Linked DNA regions of Oreochromis niloticus. The protein of the gene in region 2 interacts with the protein of the main gene of each other region in a pairwise test. Links are inferred from orthologs where the notes say so. Each region holds a gene or a part of one and is shown on either strand. Other genes may lie near its edges. The genes, in order: esrrga, pnrc2 and dcp1a.

Evidence for each region.
Region 1: the proteins of pnrc2 (region 2) and esrrga interact in binary tests that used the Homo sapiens proteins (3 or more experiments, as listed by UniProt). The link is inferred for Oreochromis niloticus from reciprocal best matches to the Homo sapiens genes PNRC2 and ESRRG.
Region 3: the proteins of pnrc2 (region 2) and dcp1a interact in binary tests that used the Homo sapiens proteins (3 or more experiments, as listed by UniProt). The link is inferred for Oreochromis niloticus from reciprocal best matches to the Homo sapiens genes PNRC2 and DCP1A.

What each region holds. Positions count from the first base shown.
Region 1 is NC_031965.2:26,536,236-26,546,956, reverse strand, and holds the start of esrrga (estrogen-related receptor gamma a), read left to right. Parts: upstream 1-3,693; 5' UTR 3,694-4,018; coding exon 4,019-4,074; exon of another isoform or gene 4,075-4,078; intron 4,079-10,721. UniProt on the Homo sapiens protein: Orphan receptor that acts as a transcription activator in the absence of bound ligand. Binds specifically to an estrogen response element and activates reporter genes controlled by estrogen response elements.
Region 2 is NC_031976.2:27,486,820-27,497,540, forward strand, and holds pnrc2 (proline-rich nuclear receptor coactivator 2), read left to right. Parts: upstream 1-5,593; 5' UTR 5,594-5,802; intron 5,803-6,333; 5' UTR 6,334-6,553; intron 6,554-6,773; 5' UTR 6,774-6,796; coding exon 6,797-7,267; 3' UTR 7,268-8,770; downstream 8,771-10,721. UniProt on the Homo sapiens protein: Involved in nonsense-mediated mRNA decay (NMD) by acting as a bridge between the mRNA decapping complex and the NMD machinery. May act by targeting the NMD machinery to the P-body and recruiting the decapping machinery to aberrant mRNAs.
Region 3 is NC_031984.2:24,732,590-24,743,310, forward strand, and holds the start of dcp1a (mRNA-decapping enzyme 1A), read right to left. Parts: upstream 6,655-10,721; 5' UTR 6,652-6,654; coding exon 6,472-6,651; intron 6,147-6,471; coding exon 6,106-6,146; intron 4,767-6,105; coding exon 4,639-4,766; intron 2,365-4,638; coding exon 2,298-2,364; intron 1,619-2,297; coding exon 1,480-1,618; intron 1,212-1,479; coding exon 1,119-1,211; intron 290-1,118; coding exon 1-289. Other genes in the region: cacna1db (voltage-dependent L-type calcium channel subunit alpha-1D), read left to right, coding at 8,392-8,419. UniProt on the Homo sapiens protein: Necessary for the degradation of mRNAs, both in normal mRNA turnover and in nonsense-mediated mRNA decay. Removes the 7-methyl guanine cap structure from mRNA molecules, yielding a 5'-phosphorylated mRNA fragment and 7m-GDP.

The DNA.
Region 1 (10,721 bases), on a different chromosome or scaffold from region 2:
AGTTCAGTAATGTGTGAAATTTCCAAATTGCTTCATTTCACTTTTGGTACAGCTTAGCTTTTTAGTCCTCATTTTAACATTAAAATGTCAAATGTTTGTCCTGCTCGTAGTACTTACTTAAACCTACCTTAAATGCGTAAATGTTTATAAAAAAAAGGAAATGTTCTTTAATTATCAAGAACAAATGCTCTGTTTTATTATTGTTGAAAGTACTTTGTTTGCAGTTGTTGCCTCAGTCTAGTACTTTGTTCATGACTGGCACATGTGTCGATGGGTGGCCTGGGGTCAGCTTCCTAAGTGGCCGCGTCTTGAATTTGTTAAAGATTGTTTTGACCAGCAAAGACACACATACAACCGCTCACAATACAGGGCTCTGAATGAACTTGCTGTGGCCTATTGAGTAGTGTGATTGATGTCAGCGAGAGTTGCAATGGATAATTCTTCCATAGATGTCAACAGGCTGCCACCGCAGGGTCAAAACACACACACCCACACACAGATTTACACACACTGGCAGACAAGAGAAGAATGAGATGCCAGCAGTTACAGAGCTCAATAGGTTTTACATTGTAAATGAACTTTTAAAATGATGCCAGCAAGGCCATTTACACATGCATACAATTATTAATTATGATAAAATGCTATTTTTACACTGTGCTTTGACTGAGTTGCATATTTTTTGTTTTTATGTTGTTATTTGCAGTTATATTTCTGCAGCATTGTGCATGGAAATATTGTCTGTTACCCAGCAGTCACATATGCACACATCGTGGATGCTCAAGGTCTCTCCTTGGCTTTTTGAGTTAAAGGTTTGCATTTAAGATGTTTATGGTTTGTCCAGTTATAGAGAAAAGTGGCCTAAAGGGGTCACTGTCAACATACACACACTGACTGAGAGTCAATCAATAGTCTATGGGGGTGGGGAGGATAGGGGTCAGAGAAGGAAAAGAGGAGTGAGGCAGAAAGACAGAAAAAGTAACGGCTGTTATGTGTGTGCACTGGTTGATGGATTTTAAGGAATACAGCTCTGTTTGTGGCGTTGTGTGCATGACATGATGTTATTGTCTCACCATAACATTTTTTTCTGTATTTACATAAAAGGCAAAGCTTTGTAAGGCATCACTCACCACACATGCACAGTGAAAGCTGATTCTTAGACTGCGTTCTTATGTTTTACCACATTGCTGCTTGTGCTTAAATTATCAGTCAGTAGAAATCACTTTCAACACAAACTGCATAAATTAAAGAATCATTGAATATTTTGTAACATAAACTAACTAAAAATTACGCCTCCATAAACGCAACCAGTTCATCTTAGACAAATATTAATGATTTCTGTGTGCGTCAAAACACTGTTCTTCAAATATTTATATAGCCATTCGTTGATATGTTACAACCCACAGACGTTTAGGCTTCTAATTGTTTAATTCAATGTATGATTTGTAGTTCTTATTTTAAATAAATGTGTTAGGCAGAACATTTTGGACTTTCTGCACTGAAACAGAGATTGTGTGTGTGTGTGTGTGTGTGTGTGTGTGTGTGTGTGTGTGTGTGTGTGTGTACTTGTGTATGCACGAGTGTGTTAGACACTGAGGTTTTGGTAAAGGATTTGTTTGCACAGTAGTGACGGCAGCATTGATTCACACTCATCTTTGTCGATGCTTATAAGCCTCTGGATACATCATAACTGTGTGTATGTTTGTATGCCTGCATGTGTATGTGTGTACACAAACCTAACAGCTATATATCTGTAAAGACATGTATTTGAATTCCTATCCTTCTGTGTAAATGGCAAAGGTACATCTGTGCAAGTAGTCTGTGACAATGAGTGTGTTTGTTTTCGTATGTGGTCTCTGGATCTTTACTTTGTCGGCTTCCGAAACAACTTCTAAATATGTATTTATTCTTGTAAAGACCCTGATTGTGCCCATGTGAAGGCAGTTAAGCTCAGTTTCACAGGGTCTTTCAGCACCACAATGTCAAAAAATTCTCCACGTCACACACATGTATTAAGCTATAATCATATTACCTTTAAAATGGCATTTAACTGAACAGTACTATGGCTAACAGGTACTGAGTTCTCCATGCAGCTAGAGTAAGAGTTAGAGCTAGAGTGCTTTATCAGCAAAACCAATACACATATCCTACGCTACACTAAGAAGAATATGAAGAATATTTAGTGCGCTAACCTCAATGTTTTAGTAACAGTTTTTCTGTTAAGCAGTTGAAATGTTGAACATTGGACTCTGTGTTTGTCAAAGAAAAACAGGGAAAGAAAAGGCAGCAGTTACACACACATACACACACATGTACATCAAAGCTGAGATTGGTTTCAGGAAATATTTTATTATCTGTACTATTCCAAAGCTGCTAATCACAACCACTCTCTTTCATCTTTGCACCACCCCCCCCACCCCCAACAACACCACCACCACCTCCACCTCCTCCACCCCCTCCGATTCCATTCTCTGTCTCCCTCTATACTCCACACTTCTCTCTCCCCCGCCATCCCATGTGCAGGGGTACCCAAGTGTTGAAAAAGTCTAATCAAAAGGAGGAAGACGTTAGTTAAAAAGAAAGGAAAGAGGACAGAAAGAGTGCGTGTATCATTCAGAGTGTCCCTACAGGGTTCCGATTTTTCCCCTTTTTACAAGGCCCTTCCCGCTCTCCTTGCATTCCCTTTTCTCTTTTCCGCTGTCTCCTCCTTGCTCTAAAACTGAGAAGCGGTGAGCTAATTTTTCCTGGAGAATCCCAGTCGCAGTACCTATGCTCACATTCCAAGGTGCTCGGAAATACTGGGAATACACAGCCTCCTGGTATAGAGATGAAAGTGAACTTGACAAAACAGCAAGCAGCAGGGAAAACCTTGTTCCAATCATGCCCAAATCATTCCACAACAAAGGACAAGCGCTCTGGAATTGCTATAATCTCATATTTTACTGCTGGGCCGCGATGGGTTCTGCTGCGCTGTGCCTGTGTGTTTACGGTGTGACACAGTATTCAGGCTTTGGGTTCATGGTCAAGCATACACTTGTTTATTTGATCTTGCATTTCTCTGGATTTGATTAGGTCAGTTTTGTGTTTTCCATTTGAGCACAAATCAATATTGGGGTCCTTAAAAGATCCTAATAACATGGTGTTACTCATGTGGTTCAGACCTTATTTGAAAGGATTTTGGTTAAAACTTTTTTTTACATTGTTAGAAATAAATATATTGTCAGTTTTTAATATTGCAGTTTATGTGAGAATGTAATTTTACCAATGCAGGTACATGCAGAGAGCAGGAGTGAGCAGGAGTGACCAGGGTAGTGAGAGACCAGTGAAGAAAGGTCAGAAAGATGGATTGATAAAGAGAGAAAGAAATACAGTAAAAAGGAGAGCAGGTTGTCTTGCTTTAAACCTTTCTCGCACCTGTCTCGTTCTCCTCTCTGCTTCCTCCTTTCCTTCCTGATTCCCTCATTCTCTCTTTTCCTCCGTGCTCTTTGTCTGATCCCTCCCTCTCCACCTGCTCTTCTCCCTCTCTCTCGCTCTCCCATATTTTCTCCACCCCTTTCTCCGCCCCTCCCTGCAGCTATTGGTGAAGCACCCACCAATCACAGCACAACTGGGACCTGAGGGACTACATATGCAAAATGCTGCTTAATATTCATGAGCCGCTATCGGGGCTTTAAGTCGTTGATTAGGACAGCAGCACAGCTTTCTGTCCCAACTGCCTGACTAGCTGGCTGTGTGTGTGCCTATAGCCCCCTCTCTCTCACTCTCACATACACACTGCATACACATGCTCCCTCACTTCTACGCACACACGCAGAGCTGATCAGTCCAGGCAGCGCAGAGCCCGGTAATTGTATTGCTCACTCCAAGTGGAAGGAAGGACCGAAAGAGAAGAAGATCAGAGAAAGAAGAGAAAAGAAGAGAGAGGAGAGATATAAAAAAAAAACTTCCATTTTTTTTTTTGTGTTTAATTTCTTGCCATTTACCCTGAGGAGGTTGACATGACAATGACCCGGTATCGCCGATGGATTCGGTAGGACACCCGTTATCCGAGTGTTTTTTAATGCACTCTGAACAAGAGTAGGTAAATTTTACCTTTTACTCTTATCCTTTTATTGATCATCCAACTTGTCATTGCCATTGTCTTCCACTGTAAGTGACTGTGTGAGTCAGTGAGTGAGTGTATGTGCTGGTATGCAGCGGAGGTGGCCGGCACCGTGTCAAGGTTGTTTCTGCTGTCAGGTAGCACGCGTTCACTCTTGTCTTTGTGTGTGTGTGTGTGTGTGTGTGTGTGTGTGTGTGTGGCTGCAGTATCCGGACAGCAGCTCTTACTTAGTGGGCAGAGGAGCAAAATTTCTGTCCCTTCACCTGAAAGTGAGACATACGCACAAACACACCTGCCTGCAAACACACATTGTTTACTCCATTTTCACTTTCGCTGTTTTCAACAACCACTTTACTTGAAGTCAGACTGTTCTTGGGACAAACTTTCTCACTACATGTCTGCATGCGTGTACCTGTGCATGTGTTTATGCTTATGCATGTGTGGTTTAAGTATGTGTTCATCCGAGCAGAGAATCCGCGAGATAACAGGGCATTAAGGTTACAGGAGCAACGTGTAGGAAAGGGCCCATAAGAGAGGAGGGAGAGAGAAAAGGGGGAGAGCTGCGCTCTTAAATGCCAGAGGAGGTAGAATTTCAGACGGGCAGCTCAGCGTGTGGCCCCGCTCAGGAATTAGAGACAGTCACACACACTCTCTCTCACACTCACACACACACACACACAAACACACGAGTGCTGCTGAGCTGCTCCTTTCGCCAATGCTTTGCTCTTTTAGATGTATGTGCAAAATGCAGATTAAGTGATTGGCAGAGTGGACAGCAGTTTGCTTGATTAGATTATTGTGTGCACAATTATTTAAAAAACAAAATTTGAGCCAACAAACAAATGATTAAAGCATAGCAGTATTTGCTTAATTCTTTTCTTAAACAGGACAAGATAAAAACATTCCTCCGACACTGTGCGTGTGTGATTCAGTAGCCGAACAGACCTTTTTTGTCTGTATGTATAAAATTATTGGCATTCATCTTTTCGAATTTGAAAAGCTCATAAATGAAGCAAAGATTTTATGGTCATATATATATCTATAAATATATATGTATAGATTTAAAACACATGCTTAGATTAAACCCATTTCCACTTAGAACTAAATTTGAATGAGTGACACTAAATCAAAGCCACAGTTTAAGTGTTTTTTTACGGTAGAGAGTCGGAAGTGGGAAAGCTGAAAGAACAAAGTCAGAGCAGAAGCTCATGCAAAATGTTGTACTGTAATATTTCCCAAAATGGTATTCGTAACATTTTTGATGGAAATAGGCAATTTTTCATTTGCTTTCAGTCTTTCTAATCATTTGTGTTTTAAAGCACACATGCCCCACTCACTCGTAAAGCATGTTGAATATAGAGGCATTTTTAAAAGAATAAACGGAGATAAACTGTACCACTACTTTACATTAAAATATTATTTTATTATATTTTTAATTTAAAAATTTGTCTTTTAACTTTCAGTCTGTTTGAATTAAAATGTCATTTAAGCAAATATGAGAAATTGCCCCTTCTGAGCAAGTAAATGCTTAAAGAGCACAAATTAAAATGTATGTGCAGGATTTTTTTAAATGATTATTTTATTATCGTTGCGGTATGACCAATCAAGCTTTTAGAGAGTCTGAGAATATCAGTCATTTCAGTTCCCTTTTTAGAGGGAATAACTGAATTTCCAGCAAAGCAAAATCTGAAGGTTTTAACCCTGTGGATTGCATCTGAACAAGCTTTCTCTACGTTGGTCCTTCAACTGCAAAACAGTGGGGTGGATTTTAAGGACCTGTAACGGCTCAGGTGTAAGAGTCTTGATTTTTTTTGTTTTTGTTTTTTCAGAATAAGACAAAGAATTCAAATTTTTCAAAAACTTCTGAACTGGATTTGCTCCTTAGTGGACAAGAAGTGTGAAAAGTGTGTTTAGACATCAAGCATCAATATGCTCACTGAAAAACACACTTTCCTGATAGACATATAGCATGAGATGTCTCTGCTTTACCTGCGTGTGATTCAGCAAGTGTACGTAAGCTGTTGCCACTCAAACGTTTTCTAGAGAGCCCTCTGGTCCCGTCATCTGTCCGTCCGCTCCTTCACACATCCATTCATCCATCCATCGATCCATCCATCCACCGTTCTCTGTTCTCGGCTCAGGCTTTCCCTTCTTTGCTCTAAGGCACTGCTTTCCTATACTAATTAAAATATTAGGGATAATGATGATCATACTGATAATAATAACAACAAGTACCACTTAAGCTGTTAACATAATTGCATTCCCCTCATGCCACCATATACATAACATTTGCATATCATTAAAATATATTTCCCACAGTGACTTTAGTGATTTTGGTGTTTTTAACAGTGGGTGTGAGGGAGAACGGACGGGTGGTGAGAACTGCACAGTGGCCGATCAGTCAGGCAAAGGTTTTGTAGTGCAGTAATGAAGAGAAGCACAAGGGAGCACAAATGATTTGATTAGGAATTATTCTCCAATCTGATGTGTCTGGATTTAATTCTTTTTAAATACATGAAAATGTAGACGAAAGAAATTATTTGTGATTGTGAGTAAAAAAAAATAAAAATAAAAATCTGTTTCAGGTTAAACATTGTTGAAGTAGTTCATCAGACTAAATTTAGATGTGACAGAAAAACAAACTTTTTTTTTTACTTACACTAGTATATATAATATAATTCAGGCATCAAATTTTCACACGTAATGTCGTGTTGCTTCTTGTTCTGCTGCGACAAATGCCACTGTTTTAGTTCACGTTTGGAAAAGTGCATTGGCCATCATACAGAGATGTACTTTTCCTGATTTCCTAATATGGCAAACTACTTTATATGAAACTGAGAAAGAAATTCAATTGAGAAAAAATCTAACTCGAAGGCCAACCGTCTGACGCTTTGACCGTTTGTTGTTTAAATGTGCGACAGCAAAATATACATATGTTTAGTTATTCAGAATAAAGAGAAAATATGGCTTGCTTTTGATTAGACAATAAAGAGCATTTAATGGTTTTTTCCCATCTTTTTCTTTTCCTTAATCTTAGTCGCTGGACCTTATTTTTCAGCCTATAAAGGGGGATATGCAGCAAAGAGAGAGAGAGAGAAAGAGAGGTAAAGCTGACTGGAGGGAGGGACAGGGGGACCAAAGAGAGATTGCGTAAATTAAAATCCTTTTAATCTCCTTATAAAATCATTTACTTAATTCATCTGTCAAAGCATGTCAATATGTGCCGTGCTGATTTGCTGGCTGCGCGCGCGCGTGTGTGTCTGTGAGTGTGTGAGCGTGCAATTTGCATCTGTTTGTTGCCATCCGTGGTTTCGTGCCTGCATGCTCCCATTTTGTATGTGTGACCTATTGATGGCCTATATGAGGAAGTGTTGTTCTTTTTGTCTCTTTGCCCGCCTGTCTGTCCCTATGGAATTTGTTGTCTGTCAGTTTTTTTGCATTTGCCTGCAAACTCACGCGCAGAGAAACACACGCACTCGTGCTTACGGCGGCCTCGCTCTCATGTGAAGGGTCCGGGCATTCCAGTGGTAATTTGGTCCCGTAAAGAGACAGAGAGAGGTAGAGAGTGTGAGAAAGAGAGAGAGAGAGAGAGAGAGAGACGCAATGAGAGAGACAGACAGAGCGAAGTGGGAAGGAAGGGAGGGGGTTTGCTTTTGTCTGACACCAGCACCCAGGAGGTCCGCTGGACACACGTGTAAGCATGAATGCCCACAGCAACGCACACTCTTAACACTAATGCATAACAATAAACACAGGTTTTACCATTTGCAGGTTAAAGTTATCAAAATTTTAAAAATGCAGTCGCTTATTCTTACACACACACACATGCATCTACATATGTGGATGCAGATATTAAAAATGCATTGTCTCACACACACTTAGAAAGCCACTGAGAGATGACAGAGCAAAATGGGATGAGCCTTGATGATGTGAATTTGTCTGATTTATGTCCAATCCATCAGTGCTCTGTGTGTGTGAGAGTATGTCACGGGTCAGTGCCGGCCTTTATGTGTTGAAAGAGCAGTAAGGGAGACTGTACCAGATGTGACACACACACACACACACACACACGAACACACACTGCAATTAGCCATTTCACCACATTGGTGGTGAATCTGTGTGTGTGTGTGTGTGTGTGTGTGTGTGTGTGAATGCACGGTTGAATGCCAAAGCGGTGATCAAAAAAAGAGAGAGAGAGAGAGTGATATATAGTGAGAGGCAGTGTCGCTCATCTTATCTCCTCTTCTCCTCTCCACAGTGCTCATCCTCTCATTCCCCACATTCCATCATCCATACATCTCCGTCATCCATACATCAAAATGTGAATTCAATTATTATTACTATTATCACATTCTATCAAATCATTTATGCTCCGTCTGAGAATTACTCTCCGTAATGCTGCTGACTTTTCTGTCTTTTCAAATCTGCTACGACCAAGTATATAGTTTAAAGAAATGCAGAATAAAAAGAGAATGTTCTGCACCTGTGCAAATTTGAACTGTGTCAAAAGCACACAGGTCCCTTTGTAGATCCGTCTGTTTGATTTTAACAAACATTGCTTTAAACTAAATTACGTTTTATTAGAATTGCTATATACATTGTGGGGTTTCTTTGGTGTGTGTGTTATTGTTTTCAGAAAAGGAGTCACTAAATTTGAATTTTATCAACTTCAACTAGATGAGCTATTGAGTTACGCTTTAGATCCGGTGACTGGTGTATGCATGAGTGTGTGCGTACCCATCGTGTTGTGCTTAGGGCTTCTAATGCTGCTCCTCAGTCCTAATAGGAGGAGACAGCGCAGACCGGGCCACAATAGAGCAGATTTAGATGGAGAGGTGAGGTGTGTGTATGTCTCTATGTGTGTGTGTGTAAAGTGTAAAAGTGTGTCCATGAGTTAAAGAGGATCACGAGAATGGTGAAGGTTCAAACCCCTTGTCTGTCTTTGGCACTTTTCTGTTGTGCTGCCCATGGGAGAGCCCTATGGTTTCGCTGCTTGGGTTGTTCTCTCCCTCTGCACGGCCAAGCTGAGAGTATGATTAAATTGTCATTGTTTCGACAGTGTGTAAGAGGGGTTCAAAAAGACAAAAAAGGGAAGATACAGTAGAACGGGAAAGGGATAGCTACTAAGAGAGAGAGAAAGAAATGAATGACCATGCCGCCTTCCGACTGACAGTGAAATATTCCTCCTCTCATCCTCCCATCATGCTTCATGTGTGTGCCTGATGGGGAGAGAATGACAGACCAGCCCACACCCCACCTCATGGTTTAGTTCTCTAGTTTTTTGCTGCTTTTTTCATCTGCCTTGCACTCTTTTTCTTTCACTCTTTCTATCTCCTGTCTGTGCACTTGGTTTCTCTCTGTGGCAACTTTATCAGCTGCACCATACAAATAAACTACAATCACATGACGATTTTCAGAAGTATTTGTTCTTCCCAAATGGACTGTATATTCAGATATTATGCTGCTCAACAAAAGTGTATATTCTTTGAATCAGGGAATTTTGATTTCAAGTTATTAGACAAGATTTTACACTGAAGACTGAATACTGAAGAAAGGTTTGTTACACTTTCTTGCTTCCTGCCCCGAACGTATTAATTTCATTAATTAAGTTTACTCCACCCGCTTCATTATACACAAAAAATGAAACGTACATAACAACATATATATGTATATTTACCTCATTATTCACAGCTTTGGGTGTTTTTGTGAAAAGGAAAATGTCTCTAACAAATATGTTGATCACACAAAGTAACTCATTTATTTTTTTAATTTTATTTAAGAAAAAAAACAAGCCCAACAGCATCAGTCCTCGTTGGTCCCTCTAACTGTACCAACGGTTCAGCTTTGACACACATCCGTACATGTGTGAGAAGATGCCACGTGTTAATATACAGTTCATTATTTTGCACATGTAAAAACAAGAAAACTATGTGTGTTATTAAGGCCTTGTTTCTGTGCGTGTGTGTGTGAGAGAGAGACAGTGAGTGAGAGCGCATTTGTGTGTATTAACTGCGTTTACGCTTTCACACAATAGTTAAATTGTATTTGACATTGTAAAAACTTTCACTTTTAGTTTGATGTAGGTTAAATAAAATAGTTCATATACGTTTATTGCTTTTTCCAAAATATCACTCTATTTAAAAAAAACATTTTCATAGTTTCATCGCTGGCAACTTTAGAAAAGATCAGATGTTAAAGTATTTGTGCATGGAACATTTATGTGAATTATGTTTACATTAATTAAAAAAAATACTATAATCCTACATGGTAAAAACGCTTCTTTTCTTTAGGATGCGTGTTCCTCTGCATAGCTGATCCGCACTTTCATTCATGGCAGTAGATAATTCATTTTCTCTTTATCCCTATCTTCCTTCACCATTCAGCGCCCTCCACCCACCCATAAGCGCACGCGCGCACACACACACACACACACTCCTCTTCTCCCTCTACACACCCCCCCTCTCCCTTGTGGAACTGTCACCTTTCTGCACCCGCTCAGTCCCTATTAAGGCCGACAGCCCATCTGCCGCCTGCCCCGCTAACAGCTCCCGTCGCTAACGCTAACGTGCACACACATCCACATCCGCTCAGACACACACAGAGGGCTGCGTTCAACCCCACC
Region 2 (10,721 bases):
GCACCGCCTCAGGCCAGCGGGTTGTGCGGTCCACCACAGTCAAAAGGTGCGTGAAACCTTGTGACTGTGGCAGGGGACCAACCAGATCCACATGTACATGATCAAAACGCCTCCCTGGAACGCGGAAGGATTCGAGGGGCGCCTGTGTGTGCCTATGGATCTTAGCCCGTTGGCATGGGATGCACGCTGCTGCCCAGTCTTTCACCGATTTACGAAGGCCCGGCCAAACGAACCTAGAGCTGACCAGCTTGACCGAGGCCCGGACGCCCGGATGAGAGAGGGCGTGTACGGAGTCGAAAACGCGACGACGCCACGAAAGTGGAACTACAGGGCGTGGTCGGCCGGTGGAAACGTCACAAAGCAGGCTAGGCCCGCCGTTCCACATGGGTCTGTCCTCCAGTACAAGGCCCGTTTGCTCAGACCGAAGGGCAAGGACGTCCGGGTCCGCCCGTTGGTCAGCGGCCATAGCGTCAAAGTCTATGCCAACATAAACGGGAGAAACCAGCGGGGGGGATAGACAGTCAGCCACGCAGTTGGACTTACCAGCCACGTGCTGAATGTCAGTTGTGAACTCGGAAATGGCTGCCAGCTGGCGCTGCTGGCACCCGCTCCACGGGTCAGAGACCTTGGACATCGCGAATGTCAAGGGTTTATGATCGATGTACGCGGTGAAACTCCGACCCTCTAGAAAAAAACGAAAATGCCGGGTCGCGAGGTGCAGGGCCAGCAACTCCCTGTCAAAAACGCTATATTTGCGCTCACTGTCCCTAAGCGTGCGACTGAAAAAGGCAAGCGGTTGCCAGACACCGGAGACCCGCTGCTCCAACACTGCGCCCACCGCCACGTCCGACGCGTCGGTGGTCAACGCAATCTCCGCCGACGGAAACGGGTGGGCCAGCAGGGCGGCGTTTGCCAGCGCGGCCTTGGCCTCAGAAAATGCCTGGATGCGTTCAGGGAGCCAGTCAATCGGGTCCTTAGCAGTTTTACCCTTCAAAGCAGCATAGAGAGGCTGCAGCAGGTGCGCAGCTCTGGGGAGAAAGCGGTTGTAGAAATTGACCATCCCCAAGAACTCCTGCAGCGCTTTAACGGACGCGGGACGCGGAAAAGCCGAAACGGCCCGGACCTTGTCCGGCAACGGAACCACACCGTCAGCGGAAATGCGGTGGCCCAAGAAATCCAGAACCGGCAAGCCGAACTGGCACTTGAAGGGGTTGACGATCAGGCCATGTGCCGCCAAGCGCTGGAAAACCTGACGCAAATATGTGCTGACTCTCAGAACAGCTGGCCACCAATATATCGTCAAGGTACACGAAGACGAAAGGCAGCCCGGGCAAGACAGAGTCCATCAACCGCTGAAAAGTCTGGGCGGCGCCTTTCAGGCCGAACGGCATGCGCAAAAATTCAAACAGGCCGAAAGGGGTAATAACGGCAGTTTTTGGGACGTCTTCGGCGCGCACGGGAACCTGGTGATACCCCCGCACCAAGTCAATTTTAGAAAAAATCGAGGTGCCGGCGAGGTGGGCGGAAAAATCCTGTATGTGGGGAATGGGGTAACGGTCGTTCTCCGTGACATTATTCAAACGGCGAAAATCCCCACACGGCCGCCACCGACCGTCGGACTTGGGCACCATGTGTAGCGGAGAGGCCCAGGCACTATTCGAGCGCTGCACAATGCCGAGGCGCTCCATAGCGGCAAACTCTTCCCGAGCGACGGAGAGTTTCGCGGGGTCGAGGCGGCGCGCGCGTTCGAACACCGGGGGACCGACCGTCGGAATATAATGTTCAACCCCGTGCTTCGTTGCCGTGTTTGAGAAATTAGGAACAGTCAGTGAAGGGAACTCAGAGAGCAAACGCTGAAAAACATTCCCAGAAGTCACCAAATTAGCCCGATTCAGGGGCTCGATGGCGCGAGTGAAACAGGGCACTGAAGAAAAAGACTGGGCGTCGATTAAGCGTCTGTTAGCGACATCGACCAGCAGTCCGTGGGCACAAAGAAAATCAGCGCCCAAAATAGGTACAGAGCTAGCGGCAACAACAAAGGTCCATTGGAAATCCCGACCATGAAAACAAACAGTCACGAACCTTTCCCCGAACGTTGCGATGGGAGAGCCATTAGCCGCAATAAGCTGCGGTCCGCAGCCCGCTGCTAAACTGTCGGCGCGGACGGGGGAAGGAGGCTCTTCTGGGAGCCGGAGTCGACCAGGAAACGTCTCCCGGAGCGCGAGTCTTCTATGAAGAGCAGTTTTTCTTTGTCGCCAGCGGTCGCGGCCGCTACAGCGCGCTGTCGGGGCCCGTGTCCCAGGGTCGGAAAAGCACAAGGCAGCAAGCAGCGGCGCGCTCTGGGGCCAAAACGCTGATGGTAGAAACAGCGGTCCCGTCCGCGGTGTCGCTGTGCCGCGACCTTTGCCGCCAGCGAAGGAGCGGACACGTCGGGGCAGGTCAGCTGGGAAGTAGAAGGCGCCGCCGGCGAGGCTGGAACTAGGTCGTGATCGTGGAAAGCGCGGGTAGCCAAGAGAATACGATCCGCGTCCTCAGCCAGGGAGCGATAATCCTTCGTGCCCAGAAGCGGAGAGTTGGCGAGGCCGGCTCTCACGGCCGCCGGCAGCTGTCGGAGGAAGATGTGGGCGAACAGGAATCCCCCGTCGTCCGGACCGAGAAAGGACAGCATGCGCTCCATCAGTTCGAGAGCCGTACCGCCACCCAGGCCTGAGAGGGAGAGGAGCTTCTCGGCTCGCTCTGCGTCGGAGAGGGCATAGCGCCGAAGAAGCAGCTCCTTAAGGGCGGCGTACTTCCCTCGGGCGGGTGGGTCCCGGAGGAGAGTCAAGGGCGAACTGAGCCTCCACGTGCACGAACCACGACGGGGGATCGTGAAGCCAAAAGTCCGGCAGCTCGAGCGGCACAGCAAACGCAGCTGCAGCCGGAGGCAGAGGGCTGGCGGCTGCTGATGCATCCAGAGCGGAGTCGGTGCCACCATCGGACTGCAGCATGTTCGAGTCAGGGGTCACCAATGTGGAGGTAAACACAGACGACACGAGAGCTCTCGATTAACACTCCTCGTTTATTCCTCATCACAACACAACTGAACACTTTTCCCTCCAAAACATAGCAACAACACTTCCTGAGAACTGGGTGTGAGTGGAACCCTCCAGTGGTCCACCACAGTGACATATTTTGATTGTGCAGAAAGTCTGAGACGTTTGTACAGACATGCCTGTGATATTGCAGACCAGGTGTTTATGGATTCATTTATGAATTAATTCACATATAGGGAGGTATTTTCCCTAAAACACAAGATGATAAGATGACAAAATAACCTTATAGAAAAAATTCTAGTTTAACAATCCAGTTTATCCATTCATGGTTGCTTTCATGGTTATTTACATAAATGAAAAGATTTTAACCATAAGTTGATGCAGAAAATTCAAATTATTGCATGAAAACCTGCACTTGGTGTCCCTGCCCCCCAAAAAGTAAAATGAAACCTATACCCGTGATTGCAAGGAAGTCATTAATAATTCAGAAATCATGCACTGCTATTTCTGGTGTGGTGATGCCAGCATTAGTCGAAATAAATAAGGAGTTAAATGTATTTGTACATTTAAACAGCTTGTTAGATTCATAAAGCTGTGAAATAAAAGTGAACTGAGCCTTTGCTCATGTAATGACGGAAAGCGGGAAACCTGAGAGATGTTGTTGAAAACTGCCATTATTTCTCATCTGTTTTGTAAATCAGTGGTTTGTTAAATGCCACATCTTTTAAAAATACATTTGCTAAATGTACTACTAAAATAAAGGGAAACGTGTTGAGGCGTTTTTATCATTGGGTTATTATAAAATGGCTTGAAAGCTTCAAATCTTCAAACTTAGCGAGTCAAACAACCATGCGCTGTAGTGTGCAAAGATGATAGAAAATAGTTCTGTCGACTATACGGCAACAATAATTTTTTCATTTGAAAAGTATTTTTTCCTGTTTGGTTTCAGTGGTTCATACAATATGCTCTGTGGGCATTTTTCACAGAAAACCGTCTGTGGTTAGTACATCTTCAAAAAAAAAAGTGTTATGTGAGTGTACCAACTTCATCTGCACACTCTGGTCCCGTAAAAAGTTAATAACTAAATAAATCTTAAATAACAATAGGGAAGAGAAGGACCTCCAATTTAGTGTGTCTGTCTTACCCAAACCCACTTATAGATCTATTTCACCATGGGTTTCATTTTAATATTTAAATTCTGTAAATTATGTGTTACTTTTATAGCGTATTAAGTTTCTTTGCTAAGTAACTAATGTACAAAAATGGTACTTCCAGTAAAAAAAGGTTTCATTTGAATATATTTACTGAGAGTACAGGCTGTCTTTATATGTATTGAACTTATTCCTGAGCTGTGTGAAACTGCTTCTGTACTTTCCCCACTTCCCTTTGCGTGGGCATATGACAAACATTTTGCACCATTCTAGTTCATATTCATAACTCCAGTCACTTGTTTGTAGGCCAACAGGATGCCGTAAATGATAAGGCCAAAGATAATCCGTAATTTTGTTCTTTTTCTCTGTGTGAGGAAAAAAGTTTCCATCCAACTTTCCAATTCGAATGTACACTATCTGTGTGACGTGTTGACACTGCTTGGCTTCTGCAGCCAGTCAAATATGGCGAGTAGTCCTTTCCACCCCCCCATGTGTTTCTAGCGACCTACAGCGGTCTCTGAGTGACCTACTTTCCTTACATAGCTGACTCTTGATTGGCACACCATTTCAGAGATTTCTTGCTTTGGGGAGTGTCCTGCCTTGCCATGGCCTTCAGCCTTCAGCAGCGTTGTGCAACTCTTTAAAAATCCAGGCGAGAAAAGAAGGCAAGGCTTCAATGACACAGACATTACTTAACCCCTTAGCCCTGCGTGCACTCATAAAACCTACTGGAAGACTTTGCCCATGGAAGTCAAAGTCCTTTGAAAAGATTGGGAGGAAAAGTGAGACCAAAATCAAAGGGACAAACTGAGGGTAATATACGTAATATAGGCCCCCAACCCTTTTTAAGACCCCCACCCAATGAATTTAAATAAAACAAAACAATTTGGGGATGGGCAACCGCTCATAGACATTGTTATTACAGCCTGTTGCTGCTGTGTCAAGTTGGCATAAAAGGGGTTAACCTGAAAAAGCAAGAAATGTGATACAACCAAACCAAAACAGTTTCCTGTAGCACAAACGGTGCTTCAGTAAATCTAAACACTGGACGTGTTTACAACCTAACCGAAGGGGTGGCGGACATGGCTTGGTGTCTTGGTGTTACATAACACTTAACTGCCTCTATGCTCACTCTAAACCTTTATGTAATGTTTTACGTGACATCTGGGGCATTTCCTATCTATTACGTTAACTTCTAGAGCCCGAAAGTGGTATTTTTTCCTTCTTTATTTCACTTCTCTCAGGAAATACCCGAGCTCCAACAAAGGCAAGGAGAGGAGGGTCGGCGATTGACGTCACCAGTCTGGCAACAGGCAACTTGCCGCCTGCCTCTTCGGTGATTGGTTGTTTATTTCGTAGTCGCTTTGTGATTGGTTAGATTTGCGTTGCAAGGGAGTACATACCGCTGCTGTAGATTCCATTTTGTCGCAATTCCGAGTCGGGAGAGGGAGAAGTGAGATCTCTTCACCGGCCTTTAACACCAAATAAGCTTCGAGGGTGACGGATTTGTAGGAGATATAGCTTGCTGTGCTTCCTACATAGTCCGTAGAGGGAGTTTAGAAGCTAACTGTAAATTCTTTTCTGACGAAAGGCTTTAACAACCAAGCCTGAAGAAGTCGGTAAGAAACAGTTTTGTACCTCGTCGCCATATTAAACCGAGTTTCTTTGTTTTGGTTCTGTGCCAAAGTAGAGCGTCCTAGATCATAAAAAAAACGTTAGAATTTTAACCAGTGGATTTGCTAATTAATTCAATGATCTTTTATGAAGGGTATAAATACTATTTCGTTTTATTATTAAGTTACTACACAAGAACAAGGGAAAAATTGGTCGCAGTTTAAGCCCAGCCTGAGCAAACAGAAGTGGGCTATGATGTCGCACTTTTCTTACATAACATTTTCGTGTGCTAATCGCTATAGTTTACAAGTTATATGCAGTGTTTTTATAAATGTAATGGCGAGGAAATGTCATTTTGTCGGTACTCTAATGTTATGTAATAGAATATTTGAAGAAAACGTCAGTTCCCTGTCACACGTCACAACACCGTGAGCGCTATTGTTATGTTGAGTCCTCTCTATTTAGCATATCTAATGGACGTTAAGTCCTGTCAAGTTAGCATATCTGATAAGCGTTTTTTTGTTAATGCCCTGAAGGGTCGGCGACTTCTTGGAGAATCGTGCGCCGAGGTGAATTGATGTTCAGCTCGGCTTCACGAGAAAACAACGCTTATTGGCACATGAAAACCTCAGACCCTGCTGGACACAAATGTGCAGCGAGAGGTAGACAGAAGACTACTTCGAGGACCTGGGGCCCGATTGGAGGAGAAAGATTGAAGAGAGACGTCTACTCGGTTAACTTTTTGACAACAAAGAGGTGAGCTGGCGCTGTTTTTCTTGTGTCCGTGTGGGGGATGGGCGAGCCTCGCTGTCTGGTGTTTCTGCACGTAGTCTCTGTACTTGTTTTTATTGTGATGTGGTGCGCCTGTGCTCGCGGTTGGTAGCCAACAACTTACGCTGTAGTTGCATACATTATTAGCGTGAATGGAAATGTATAACCAGAGTTTATTTTTAATAATACTATTCTCACAATTTAGGTGACACGTAGAGCAAAAGCAGTATGGGAGGTGGAGAGAGGTACAACATTCCAGTTACCCACCCTGAACGCCCTTTGGCCAAGAAGAACCACCAGCTTGGCCGTGCAAAGCAGCGAAGCCGTGACCAGAACGGAGCAGCTGCATCCGTAGGGGGGCCAGGGGGCCTTCACCACCATGGCCACCGACGGAGCGAGAAAGGCGCTGCCTACCACAGGTCTCCAGAGACACGGCAGGCCGTGTCTGCAGAGAAGAATGCTTCTGTCCGTTTTTCCACCAACTATGATCAGAACTGGGAGGGTGCAGTGTCTCATCTCAACACACTCCTGGCAACCCAAGGCAGCCCAAGCTATGCAGGGCCTAAATTCAGTGAGCCACCTTCACCCAGTGTTTTGCCCAAACCCCCTAGTCACTGGGTGTCTTTCCCTATAGGCTCCTGTGACAACAGGGAGGTTATGACCTTCCAGCTCAAGAGCCTCCTGAAGGTGCAGGCCTGATGGGGGTGATACCAGTTCTTCATTTAAAGAAAAAAATAAGCCAATGCATGGACCCACCCACCAGGAACGCCTCAGTTCTGTAGTATTTTTAGCTCTTTTCTTTTTCTCTCCTTTTTTGGCTGACCTTCAAAGTTGGTGGATGCTTGACAGGAGCAATGTTTTGCAATTCCTGTTTACCATCCATTTAAAAAAAACTGATCATTTAAAATTTACAGAATTGCAGCCTTTCTGGTCGGTGATGCCTTTAGTGGAGTTTCTGTGACTATGACAAACTGGATATTCTTTGTACTTATGTTTTGTTTTGCTATTTTTAATCTTGGCTGCCAAGGCAGATTGAGTGTGCTTTTTTCCCCAAACAAGGATGGTAACATTAGTCAGGTAAATTCCCATCACTTTTACGGTCCACTTCTTTGGACAGACGTGGTGTTTCATTTATGTTTCTATGAAGAATGATCTTTGGAGTTATCTCCTTAAGCTTTAGGTGCTAAAGCAGGTTCATATTTGTAGCAATTTTATTTTTTTTTAATCAAGGGCCCACTGTTGTTTATATATCACATTCATTGTTTGGCTAAAGAAGGCACTCAACTGCAGTTCTGCAGGGAAAAAAGATATTTTACAGGAGATGAGCTGTAGTGTAACTACAGGTTAATGGTATAACCTCAAACGAAGGGTAGTAAGAGACCATGGCACACTGGCTTTGGACCACCGACTCACGTACCCTTTTTTATTGCGCTGTGCGCACATGCACTTGGAGTTGAGTGTGTCCAAGGTCTACAGCACTCTTATCATAGCATTATTTTGTATAAGTGCTTTCTGTTGTGGTTGTTGAAAGATGTATAATGTGCTGTGTATAACCAAAGCAATGTTTTGCTTTTCTTTTTTTGGACATTTGGGCGGATGGCAGTGTTGCCATTTTCACTTGCCAACTCGAGGTGAATGGTTTGACGTCTCCTTGATCACCTGTTCATCTGTTCTGATCAGTACCGTTACTGCTCCTCAGTCTGCCTCTTAAGGACAGTGCCTGCAGCTCAACATGCGGAAGGGGGCCTTGCTTAAATGTGGGACTACTGAGTTTCGTTTTCTCAGAAAAAACCCCACATTGCCTGGTCCTGTTGGCTGTATGCTTTTGTGCACAAGGCGAGACAGAGCTGAGGAACATTTCTGAAGCGGCCTAAGCGCCTCAACGTGAGACAGGAGGCTGGTGTTTGTGTTTACAAATAAGCCTCAATGGTTAACTACCCCATAATCAACAGACACTTGCTGCCCGTTGTCTCTTGCACTTCTGTCCCTTAACCTTCTGCACTGCAATCAGACTGTTTTCTTTTTTTCATAAGTTACAGGCCAGGATGCTGTTCAATTAACGGAGGCGTAATTGACTATCTTCTATGGATTCTCTTTCAGTTCTCTGTTGAGGCTCTTTGCTTTCCCTTTGCAGAATTGGAGCCATTTTTGGCCAGCTTAAAGATGACAAAACAAAGTATGAAAGCTTGTTAGTGAGTTCAAGAGCCATGTAAATAATGAACTGTATAAAACACTTGTAGCATATGTACAGTTGCAGACCAAGTTTGTGGCCTGTTTGACAAAAGTATTTTTAGTAATAACACTGAATGTATGAGACATGCTAAGGTCATGTCTTGACTTCAATACTGAAGAATATTTTTGTTAAAAAAAAAAAAGCTGCCTATAGCATCTATCAGTACCCCTACACTCTGATCTTTCCAGAGCTATTGCACATTTTTTTATTGTGTATTGTGCAGTGTAGGTTTAAAGATGCTACATGGGAAAAACAAGTAAAATAGAAAAAAAAACTCAATTGGACTCTAGGAGACTTGCATATGTATAGATTTGAGTTGTGAATGTGCTTACAATGGTGTGTAAGCATAGCACTTTTTTATTATTATTTTTTTTTTTTTAACAAAACAGAAAAACTTTGTGCCTAAGTTAAAACTCATTCTGAAACTGACCATAATCATTGGTGGAAATTCCCAAGTTGACCAAATATTTTCCAGACATTTTCGGTTCTCGGCTGTTCTTCCGCCTGCTGACAATTGAAAATGTCTATTATTCTTTTCTTGGTTCATGTAAACTTTTTTTTATTTTCCTGCCCAGACTAAATCATACATGGCAGTCTCCATATTCAAAATTGAAATCTTTCAGTGAATTGGCTTTTTAATTTGTCCCTCGGATGAAATGTCACCAAGAACAATGAAATGTGCCCTGTTTACGATTGGTGTTAATTTGTTACAAAATGTAAAACAAGAAAGCACTCTTTGAATTGATGAAAAACTTGAACGAAAAAAGAAGAAAAAACTAAAACAAAAAATTAAATCCCCTCCCCTACCCCCCTACTTTGTGTTTTGAGTATTTTTGACTTGATATAGTAACACTTGTTTGACACTACCTTTACAACACAGCTTATTCAACTAGAGCAGTGTAAGAATGTATTTATTGACAAAAGATATCAGGTATAACAGTTTAAACAAGGGAGTTTCTTAGGGACACGAAAAACAATTGATTCTTATCTTTAGTATATTATTACATAACAAAATGACTCTATTATTGGGTACCAGCTGTATCAGCATATCTTTCATTGTCACAGCAATCACAATAACTATAGTATACAAGTTGGCCTGCTGAAATTAAACCAGACATTTAAGACTAGGGCATGTTGTGAATAATGGCAAAACAGGCCTTCAGTTTAATTTAACACATGTATCAAAAGAAAGAAAAAAAAAAAACAAAGGGCAGGAGCCAAATGTGCTTTCCTTACAGACATAACAAAATTGTTTATTTACCTTTGGCAAAAGATTCCTCCGTATTCAAATAAGAAATGAAAGCAGGAAGCACAAGACTCCTTTCACACATGCACACCTTTCTATAAATACAACCTTTTAACATGTCTACTTGCACCCTGGTCTCTTCATAAAGGTCATAACAGCAGTTCTTAACAGAGTTGGACCTTGAAGCATTCAACTTTGAGTGCATGCAGTTGCATTTATAGATAGTGACGCACAAAATCACTGCATGAGTTCCATAGCTCACTACAGTAGTAGCTTATATCCAATCATTTAAAAACAAAAAAACAAAAAACAAATTTACAATAACTTCAAAGTACTCTTATGTTACATACTTTCCCAACCAGAAGCTAGCCTTCTCTCTCTGTGTGGGAGGGAATTGGTGCAGTTCTCAGCAGCAAACGCAAAACTCTTAGTAATAAAAGCAACAATGGCAGAGGGAACCAAATGTTATACACACTAGAGTCAATACTGATAATGCTTGTAGCTACAAAAGCAAAAATCTTGTGCACACATACTGTGGTTCTCCTGTCACTGCTGCTTGTACGTCTGGGGAAAAACAAACAAACAAAAAAAACCTGGGAGGAACGTAACAGAACATTATTAACCAGTTAATTAATCATGAACCAGATTAATGAAGCCAACAATGTTAAGTAATG
Region 3 (10,721 bases), on a different chromosome or scaffold from region 2:
TCACTGACTGGAATACAGGACTTGGGTGTAATGCATATGGAGCAGGGAGCAGACCGGGGGCTTGATTCCTTTGGTTGGAACCCGGGTCTTGGGCTGCATGTTGGCGAATGAGGAGAGTGCTTTGTGGAGGTGGAGCAGGATACGGTTGTTTGTGGACGTAGGCAGCGGAGGGGTCACTGGAAACGGTGGTGCTCTGCGTGGGCATAGTTGGTAGAGAGGGATCCTTAGGGAGAGACGAACCAAAGAGCTCCTCCACTGTGATCTGCTTTACCACGTGGTGAGAGCTCTGCTGGGTAAAGAAACAATGATCTCAAATACTGCGGAGCTCCAAAAAATCAAATAACAGAAAACTAATCAAAAACTATTTTGATCATGTATTAATCACTCAGGTTGTTTAATAAGTAAGATTATGAAAGTTTGTTGGAAGCTATATGATTATCATATTTTGACAACATAGTTGGCTGCAAGTTTTGTTTTGCCGTTGCTAATCAGCTGGAGCCATTTTAGCTGTTTTTAAGCTGTCGTCATCGTTGAGCTTTGCAAACAGCAAACAGTGTAAGGGGGGGCTTTTTTTGGTAACTATTGGGATTTTAATGCAAAAACAAAAAAGTGACTAATCGGATGAAAAGAAGACTTTTCTGTAAAAATTACAATCCTTAGACCTGGTAAACATGGAGATGACACAGCTCCACTGTTTGTGATAAATATCTTAGAAATGTATCAGGAAACACGGGCTACAATATATCTAATATAATACTGGTATATGATTGATTCACAACATGGCCCATTTCCCTTTCCATTTAGTTAACATTGATTGCCCCAAACTGTTCAGTTCATCTTAGCCCCGCATGCAAACCCTGCAGAAAACCCAAGCAGCACTGATGGCTGTGACATAAATTGAAGGCACGTATTTGGGCGTCTGTTTGCAATGTTCCTTGCAGCATTCTCTGCTGCCAAATGCTAACTATGTATGGAGTGACAAGGATAAAAACCTGCCCCTTCTAACTGTCCTCCTCCACACTTTCTATGTGTAGGAGTGACAAGAATGACAAAGCTTTAAACATTTAAAGAGAAACGAAAATTGGAGCTCAAATCATTGCTTTGTATGTGTGTTGTACCTTTTCAGGCTGCGGTGCGGTGTGGGGATCTGTAGTGCTGACAGCTGCTTTTGCAGTCTGTTCAATGGACACATCTGTTTCACCTGCTTGGGACTGCAATTATTGCACAAACATAAAAACATTAGATTATATTGAACTGATCTCTCCATCTTAAACTGACAACTCCACACCTGAAACAGACCAAGGTTATGTACCACTGTAGTAACTTATATGGATATTCACACAAGTTTGTTTTTGTTTTCAAAATTTTCTACAAATTATGGCTCAAATTCTGTCATACACTATAGTTATACATCATGTGATCATACTCGTGTGATAACATAAGTCAGATGCTACGTTAACTGTCTGTTTGCCACCTCACCCTCTGGTATTCTTCCTTGGCTTTGCTGAGCAGCTCCAAGATATCGATGCTGCGGGGTTCTGCGACTCCATTGGTTCTCCCCGGCTCTGCCCTCTCAGGTGACTTTTTCTGGGCATGGTCTGCTTCTTGTTTCACAATCCTGGCACAGAGTTAAAGCATGACATATAGCCTGCACACACAACTGTTGTTTGTTTAGTCAGATACTAAGTACTGATCATGTTGGGGTCAGAGCTAATTTACTAAACAACCTTACTTTGTTTTTTTAAGTGAAATTACTCAACTTATACAAACCATGCAATGAAAACCAAAATATGAACTAGACAATCCTGGCCTTCACAAACTGCATCTTTGCTTCACAAGAGCACAATACTGGCACAAATCAACAGATTTCCTAAGTGGACCAACAGATTTGTTTCCTTTTACTGCACCGTAGTCAACTTGGGAGTGACGTGACTGCTCCTTTTACCTCGCAAGATGGAGATGGCAGCCTTACTTTTAAGGTGAAGCCTGAATCTTACATCCCGCTGCTTTGTTGGTTCATGGTCTCATTTGCTTTTCATGGGGCTCCTATATTTCTGTTTAATTTGAATTATTCTGTATTGAAAACTCCTTACACTGCATCAACTTCATGGCATCTTATATGCCGAGTTCTTTAAACCCTGCATTTAGTGAACATAACAGACCTCCACATTTCTAGAAAGTACACATGGTAATTCATTGTGGAAATACAAATCAAACTTGATAAGTGGAAAAAACTGACAAAAGTAAAGCCTTGCCCAATTTCATCCACTTCATCCATCAAATGTCCGGTTACTTACTTGACCATGAGCTGAGCGATGCGTTGACAATCCTTCTTGTCATAGAACCAAATACTATAGATACCCACTGTTAAAAACAGACACATAAAATGCATTTAATAACACTGACAGCAGACATCAGTTTATACAAAACTCTTTAAAACAAACCCAAACCTTCATAAATACAGCTAAAATAACTATGTGTTTTTTTTTAAAACCATTAATTTAGTCAGCTTTGTGACTTAATGTAATTGAGCCATCAAAGAAAACACTGAAAACAACACTAAATGAGCACTGTACATGACTGCACATTAGTGGACCTTAGGATCAATGAGAATCTGACAGTTCAAAGCAGTGAAGTTACAAAACAATCAAATACAAAAAGGAGAAGTTCATTTTTAGCGAGCTAACACAGCATTCACCGACACCAACTGGAAAACAAGCAAACTGCACATTTGCAGTTTCTGATGAAAAACAACAATTTTATATGAAGCTGCTCGTGCTTTGTATGTGTCTATGTGATGAAACACTGGTGTATTCAAGTTCCCTCTAAAGCCTGAGGTAACCTAGCAACCCAAGCGCTTGCCTCCCTGGAGCATCCCCTGCTACCAACGGGAACACAAAGTGTTGTAAACAGGTGTATGCACGAGTCCAAGTACACACCTCACCAAGACAGACATCTGAAACTTTGAGCGCACGCATCAGTCTGCAGATGTGTTTGAAAGAGATTTCAAACACACTTGGAGCAGCATTAACATCCCTCTGAAGAATCCATCCTCTCTGTGTTCGACTCTATGCTCTTCAAACAAACATCTTTCAGCAATATCAGCCTTCATTATTTTTAATTGGAGAGAGGAGTCTCAGGAGCATCATCTACATCCTGCTCTCACTTTCTCTCACAAACCTGAACTCTACCTGGAGAGCAATCACAAACAGCAAAACAGACTTCAGGCAGAGAACAAACAAAGGCTCCTCAGCCTGTAACTTATCTTACTGAAAAGATCAATTGGGCAGTGCAAACCTTCATGTGGAACAAATGATCAAAGACTGTTTACTCTGACCCGCCTTACAGTGACCATCAGCTGTCAGACGAGCATCTTCACAGACTGAGGAATACCGTCAACCACTTTATCTGCCTGCAACTCAACACACTTTGAGGAATTAAAATGAAAACAGCAGCACTCGGACTCCTGTGAAGCACCTGGAAAAGCTGTTCCGACTCGGATACCAACAAAAAAAAATTACATCATGTCTTCCATACCAGGCAGGCTGATAGGCAAGCCGAGTCCTAAAGGGGAGCAGTCCACTCTGACGCTGAGCCTGGCCATGTTATTTTTTCTCATTAGCAAACAAATGGGAAAACAATCCAACTCCTTGTTCATTGCCTTAATGAAACTTCTGTTCAGACTTTTGATAGATTACCTCGGTGGGAGCACTGTCAGTTACTTTCTGAGGATTTGAGGATTTATTTCAAGCCTTTTCATCTGATCCTACTCCCTGCTAAACTCTCTTCATAACGCTAGACGATTTCACTGGAATAAGTCATCAGGAAAAACTGCAACGCACATAAAAATATTTATATAGTAGAAGCCTAATTCACCCCTTAGAACCCAAAGTCTTTTTGTTTGTTGGCCCAATACAGAATGAAAACTGTGGCCAAACCAAGCTGAATACTGTGTGGTTTGACAGACCAGTCTGAGGCCATGAATGACAAGGTCTTCCTCCTTGATTCTCCAAGATACAAGAAGGACTTCAAGCAAAAGGGAGAAGAGCTGTTCCAGAGAACACTGGGGAGGTGTCTGTCCAGCATTTTCAAAGGTACTAATGTGTTCTGGCATTATTGCGTTTGAGCAGGAAAAATTAAATAAAACCAATACAGCAAACAAACTTAAAACAAAATCTACAGGTAGAGAAATGCAGAAATTCTTTGAACACAACATTTTTCATTTTTTTAAGTTCATGAAATAAAAACTAAGAGTGCAGTAACATTTAGAGAAAGGTCGAAAGTTTACTGTCTGTTTGGATATTTACTTTTTTCAGTTAACGTGTAATTTTTCTTGTAAATTATCATCTCTTTTTGTCTAAAGCAGAGCCTTTCAAAGCTATGGTATGTGTTTCTCTTCGACACTACCTTTTGTGATACAGCACAATATTATGGAAGAAACATTGTACTAGAGAAATATTATGTAGCTGAGAAACATTGGCTGATATTCTGGGATAGTGGTCTTTTTTGTTCCCTCAAACTTCGAGAAGCTGTGAAGTACTGCAGCACATCCGATTTCAGTCCAAGCATACACAGAAATATGTATCTCCTGTACATGACATCTGCTGTTTCTGTGTAACTGGACTACAAAACACTCACAGTTGCCATTTCTGTAGAGCAAGAATGGATCCTGTAGCTGAAACTCCAGGTCTTTATTGATTGGTTCTACAAGGTTCTCCGTGCTCAGTCGATTCATGATGGTGAAGCCATGGTGAGGGGAAGCAGACCTTTCAGGGACAAAAAACATAAAACATCACCTCACTGATAAAACATCTCTCTATGTCGATTAGTTTTAGTCATCCATGAATGATTTTTTATGACAAAGAATTAGCACATCTAAAAAAAAAAAAGTTCACTGATTTTCAGATCAGTTTGGCCTTTTCATCCCATTTTTGTTTCTTTAGAGTGGCTTCTTGATAGCCACCCTTTCAGTGAGATCATTTCTGATGACACTACAGTAAACAGTGCATGGATCAATTGAAAGACCACATGCATCTTTCAGGTCCTGTGGCAGGTCATTGCTGGACATAGTACCGGTTTTGTACTGTACTGTTCTTGGCATCCTGAGCTTACTCCATGGCCTCATTCTGGTAGCACATGACCAGAACACCGTAGTTGCCTAGTTTTCAATGTGGAGGAGTAGCAGCTCAACTCTGAGTCCCTTGTGAATAACTGAACTTCTCATCCTATCTCTAAGGGACAGGCCAGCCACCTTTTAGATAAAACTCATTTCAGCTGCTTGGATTTGCCATTTCATTTTATTTATTTATTTTTTGGGGGGCATTTTTGCCTGACAGACAGAACAACGAAGACAGACAGGAAAGCGGTGTGTGTGTGTGAGAGAGTGAGTGAGTGAGTGTGTGCGGGGGGGGGTCAAACCCTGGCTGCTGCTCTCTGGCCATGTGGTCACCTAAACTGCCACGGATGGCTGAAGGTAGGGATGTAAGATTGAAAGTTTCCCTTTTGGACTCTGCTCTTTCTTTACCACCGCGAATCTGTAAACCCCGATCAGTCCATCAATTTCACGCTCCCCTCTCCCCTCAATTGTGTACAAGATCCCATACCTGGAGGGAGCACTCCACCCTTTTCCAGCTGAGAACCATGGCCTCAGGCTTGGAGGTAGGTTGTAGGATTCTCGTTTACTATATACATTTTGTAAATGAGAATTTCAGAGAATTACATAATTCTCAATTCTATGAAAGATATTCATATTAATCAATAACCAATTAAATCGGTTGCTAACATTTCGTTATTTTCAAATGAATACGTGAACAGCCCTCAAAACAACGATGCGCATTAAAGCTGTTTATCAAACAAGTCTTTACACTTCAAGTGGAATTAATTTACTAAAACTTTTACTTATTAATTTCCTATTTAAACAGGCTGCAATTTTCGTTCTGTGAGCGAATAAAAATCACACGTAATCTAATTCGTGTTTGTTTACAAAGACTGAGGCCTGCACACGTGCGTAGAACACGTCAAATGACAGCGCGTGAAACGTAAGAACAAGTAAACAAGCCCTCGCGGTCAACGCGTTACATTACTATAAAAACCTCACGTGCTTACCTTGCATAAACAAACAGGGTGCCCTCGATTTCAGTCTTCTCCTGTAAAACAAAAAAGTGAAGGTATGAGTCAGAAACTATAAACATGCTGAATAATAGCAAAGGACGCTGTTAGCCCAACTATAGCTAGCGCATAAAAGATTACGCTTATTGGCATTTAAAAAAAATTAAATAAAACAATTATCAAAATGACAGTGGTGGCAAAACACAACGTGTGTAAGCATTACCCGAATAAAGTTCACTTCCACAAATATGATCAAATTTCTTTGTATTTTTTGTTTATACAGAATAGCTAGCATGCTAAGTCAAATACTTAGCTAGCTTTGACGGCTTTCTGCAAAACTCTGTACGTTACTTACAAACTTACCCACTCATTCGCCTTGGAGTTAAAGTTATAGAGAGCCACCTGGCCGGTAACATCGAGCAATTTGTTTATGTATGGATCGTGCCTCTGTAGAGCAGCTAAGCTCATCATATGTCCAGCATTTACGGTCTCCATCTTGGATATGATTGTTGCTCCCGCACGGACGGAATTCAGCAGACACATATAACTTCCGATGTCCCCGGAAACCACGGCTCTTTAAAAAAGTTTCCGAGGCACTGATTTATTCCGCATATTAATTCGAACTGTAATTCTGGTCAGTCGCATTTAGCTAGAGCTTAAATACAAAATGTTTGTACGAAAAAAAAATCTGGTGACTCTTTTGAGCTTCAAAGTCGATCAAACAACGACAACAACAACAACAACAATAATAATAATAATAATAATAATAATAATAATAATAATAACAACAACAATAATAATAACTCATGATAATCGTGGCATGATTAGATATTTAGGATAGGATATAATTTCCAAATAGTAAAACCTATTTGAGGAAAACCTGTTAAAGAAAAACGATATTTATAGCTGTGTGTTTTAATTCTGAACCTCTGTAACACTTTATGTCTTCTTTAGTTTATGTTCTTTATTTGAAATCGCACTCATCTATAGTCACGTTAATTCCGAACTTTATTCGAAATGGCAGACTGATAGTGAAAAGTTAAAACGCCCCTGTGTCCTGGCGTGACCTCTTTGTGCTTATTGTAATTATTTGGACATAATACTTTAAACCCATTGCATGCATAGTGGGATTGTGCAGGATTGCCGTCCGGACCGAGCTGCAGCTGCCTCCCTCACCTGCAGTTTATGGAACAGTGGAGCAGGATTATAATCTGGGGATTACGCGCCACCGTGAAACTTTATCCCGCAGGCTCAGGTAATCCAATCACGGGTAACCTTCCAGCACCGCTCTAACATCCCATTTCCTCTCGAATCTTCGCGGAGAGAGGACAGAAAAAAGCGCAATGAGGCCCCCGAGAAGAGCCAGGTGATCTAATGCCGTTCATCATAAGGGCAAGACCCCTGAGGGGTAAGTCCGAGCGTTTAACTCTTCAGATGGATAGGATAGGATACGGACATGGTGTTCATCCTCAAATACAGAAATTTCCCTCTTAAGGGAAAGTATAGTTGTCACCATTTGTTTCTAGCAGATTGTTCACTGTTCCGACTGGTTTCTTTTGCGTAGTCACGTGTCTCATGACCTTCATCACAGCGCTGAACCGAATCGTAAAGAATAAACAGATTCGGAGGTTTTGAGACCCGTGGATAGTTTTAAAGTAGAGACAGTCCGAGGTACACGGTTGTACTTTAAACGACCTTTAATTGCAGCCTTGCAACAGTTTTTAATTTAGGATCATACAATATATATAGTGAGATGGATATACTGATTTCTCCCTGTCTTCATTGCTCTCTGATGTCATCGCACGACTTTATTCTCCAGTCAGCTGTTTTGTTTTTAGAGGGTTCTTTTTAAAGCAACATCTGGCGTCTAGAGTTAAAAACATTTTAATGTTTACGTTGAGATGATCGCATTCGCTCTTTGCAAGTTTCCCAATAGGCGGCAACAGGTGCATTTCCAGTTGGTGGGCGCGCGTGATTTCAGCACAGTGGAGCCCACGCGATTGCTCCAACTTGTGTCAGTCCGTCCCCAGCCACAGAGAGGATAATTGACAGCAGTGGATTGACTGCCCCTGCCAGCGCGTCCTCTCGGATACGCCGTGAATCTGCAGGCAGGCACCCGGATGTGGCGAAAATGTTTGGCGCTCCTCTCAGGGTCTGCGCTCGGAAAACATTTTATGATTCAGGTTAAAGGCTCTGTTCAGGTTTCGCGCCTTCGACACCTTCGGACGGTTTTTCCAACGATGAGTTGGATTTAAAACGGATCTTTTCGATGTGGATTCGAGGATGCAAGAAGCAGATGAACAGTCTGAAGGTAAAAAAAAAAAAAAAAACCCCAAAAACGTGCGTGTGGAAGCGCAGGAGGAGAGTTGGAGCGCAGCAGAGAGAGAGGGAGAGGGGGCGAGAGCGCTCGTTCGGTTTATTCTCTGGATTTCTGATTAATCCGTGTGATTATATGCTTTGAGTCGTGGCTGCTGCTGACATGTTTTTTTCCCTCCCCAACTTATTCCAGTGCAGGGATTGTGTATTAACACTGTAAGCGCTTGTAGGCTACATTATTGTGATAACATCAGTTCTCAGATCCACTGGGAAGCGAGTTGAGGCTAGTTCTCCGAAAAATGGTTGACTATAACGGTCATTCTGAAACCATGTGACAGGGTGCTTTGAATATATTCGCTCTCCAGAACAAGCTGCGAGACGCTAAATGAACTTTTTAAGTAAATTCCTTCTCTTCTAAGTTTTTCTTTTAGAGTTTAAAAGCTGTCCAAACAAAAGCAGCAAAACTCGACCACAGCAACATAGTCAACAGCTGTTTTCCAGCATCTTGTGACAGATGTGCGACATCCAACAGAAGCGCTGGGTTAATTCCTTTTACATGTCGGACAGGCTGTGACTATTATTAACTAGCAGCGTGCACTTGTTCTGCTGCACCTGTGGTGGTGGTGTATCGCTGTATGAGAAGGGGTGGTGATGAAATGTTTTGAATGCACCTCTCACCTGCGATCGCGCTGACATCAAGCGCAATTAAAGTGAAGTGATGTTTCGGATAGACTTCCCCGCATAATAAACTATCATGTTTTGACTACACCGTGAGCGTCGAGTCATGGTGACTATGATTTTGCACAGACGAGCCCAGAATATTGATGAAAAGTAATAAAATTAAGTAGCTTGCCTGAAATCTGATAAAGGAACCAACTTTGTGTAATCATTACCTTTTAAAAGAAAAGCTTTATTCTTCTCAGATTTTGTGCCTCTCTCTCATATTGCACATGACCCACACAAATAGATTTCTCATTTTTTTTCTTTCTTTTTCTTTATTTGCTTAGTTGTGTGTTGGAGCTGTTTTTGCTGGATGACACGGTCAGTCTATAGCTGACAACACTCCCCGATGTGACTGTGCTATAGAGTTGCAGTGTGCGACTGTGTCAAGGGCACTGTCTTTTTAGCTCATGGTCTGCATTGATTTTAATGACGCTCTCTGTCTCTCCCATTCATGCAGGCTGTTCTGCTTTCTCTTTCTATAGCTGTCTTTTCTGGGCTCCTTTCAAGCCCGTCATCACCATAATTATAATCACCATAATCACTTCTTCTTATTTTTCTGCCCATTTTATCTCTGGATGGGTTCTTAGAGGACAGTTAATTGCATGTTCAACAAGTAATTGTACAAGGCAAGTTTAAATGTGAAGTAGTGATAATGTTGTCGACATTATATATGTATGTCCACTGCCCTTAGGATCCTAATAGACTTTTGCAAAAAGCTGAAGTGAAATTCTAGCAGTTATCTTCAGTCGCCTCATTCATAGGGAAAGCATGTTGATGTCCTTGTTTGAAAAGCACTTTAAAGACTGACTGATTTTTAAGACCAAGACTATGGGTATTATTTATGAGTCCTATCATGACAATATTGTTTAAAAGTAATCTCATTTTATTGTCACAGCAGGTTGTGGATTACACCTTTATGTGACCAGCTGATCGTTGAATTTGTAGACTTCCATCACTTTGCCAACAGTGAAAATGCAGAGTGCTTTCTGGTGGGCAAAAAATGCAACATCCAGACTAATAACATGGCTGAAGGGTATTTTTCCCATCGCTTGTTCACTCTTACACTTTGAATTTATCAGCCATTATATAGTAATGCCTCTGCCAATATATGGACTAATAGCTAACATAGCCAATATATCAGAGACATATGGCAGCTGATATATCGGGACCCAGCCAAATATATATATATATATATATATATATATATATATATCGTTTACACTTAATTTCTTTTAGATTTTATTTATAATTTAATAATAACAAACAAGCAAAACAATGTAATGTTCCTCACATCCACCCCTAAGATTACAGGTACAAGACAGAAAAACCCCCCCAATTTGATATAATTACATAAACAGTATAAATGATAGGGATGGGGGGGAGTCATTCTCCTTAACTCACCATCAGTTCATGAGTGTGCCATTATTATGTACATTAATAAGACAAAAACATCTGCATTATGAGTGAAAGGCAGCCAGGTGGTTCTGAATCTTTCCAGAGACTTGGCTCTACTGTAACTCAGTTTTTTTAACACAGCATAGAAAGCATTTCTCTGACCCAGATTTTAAAGGATG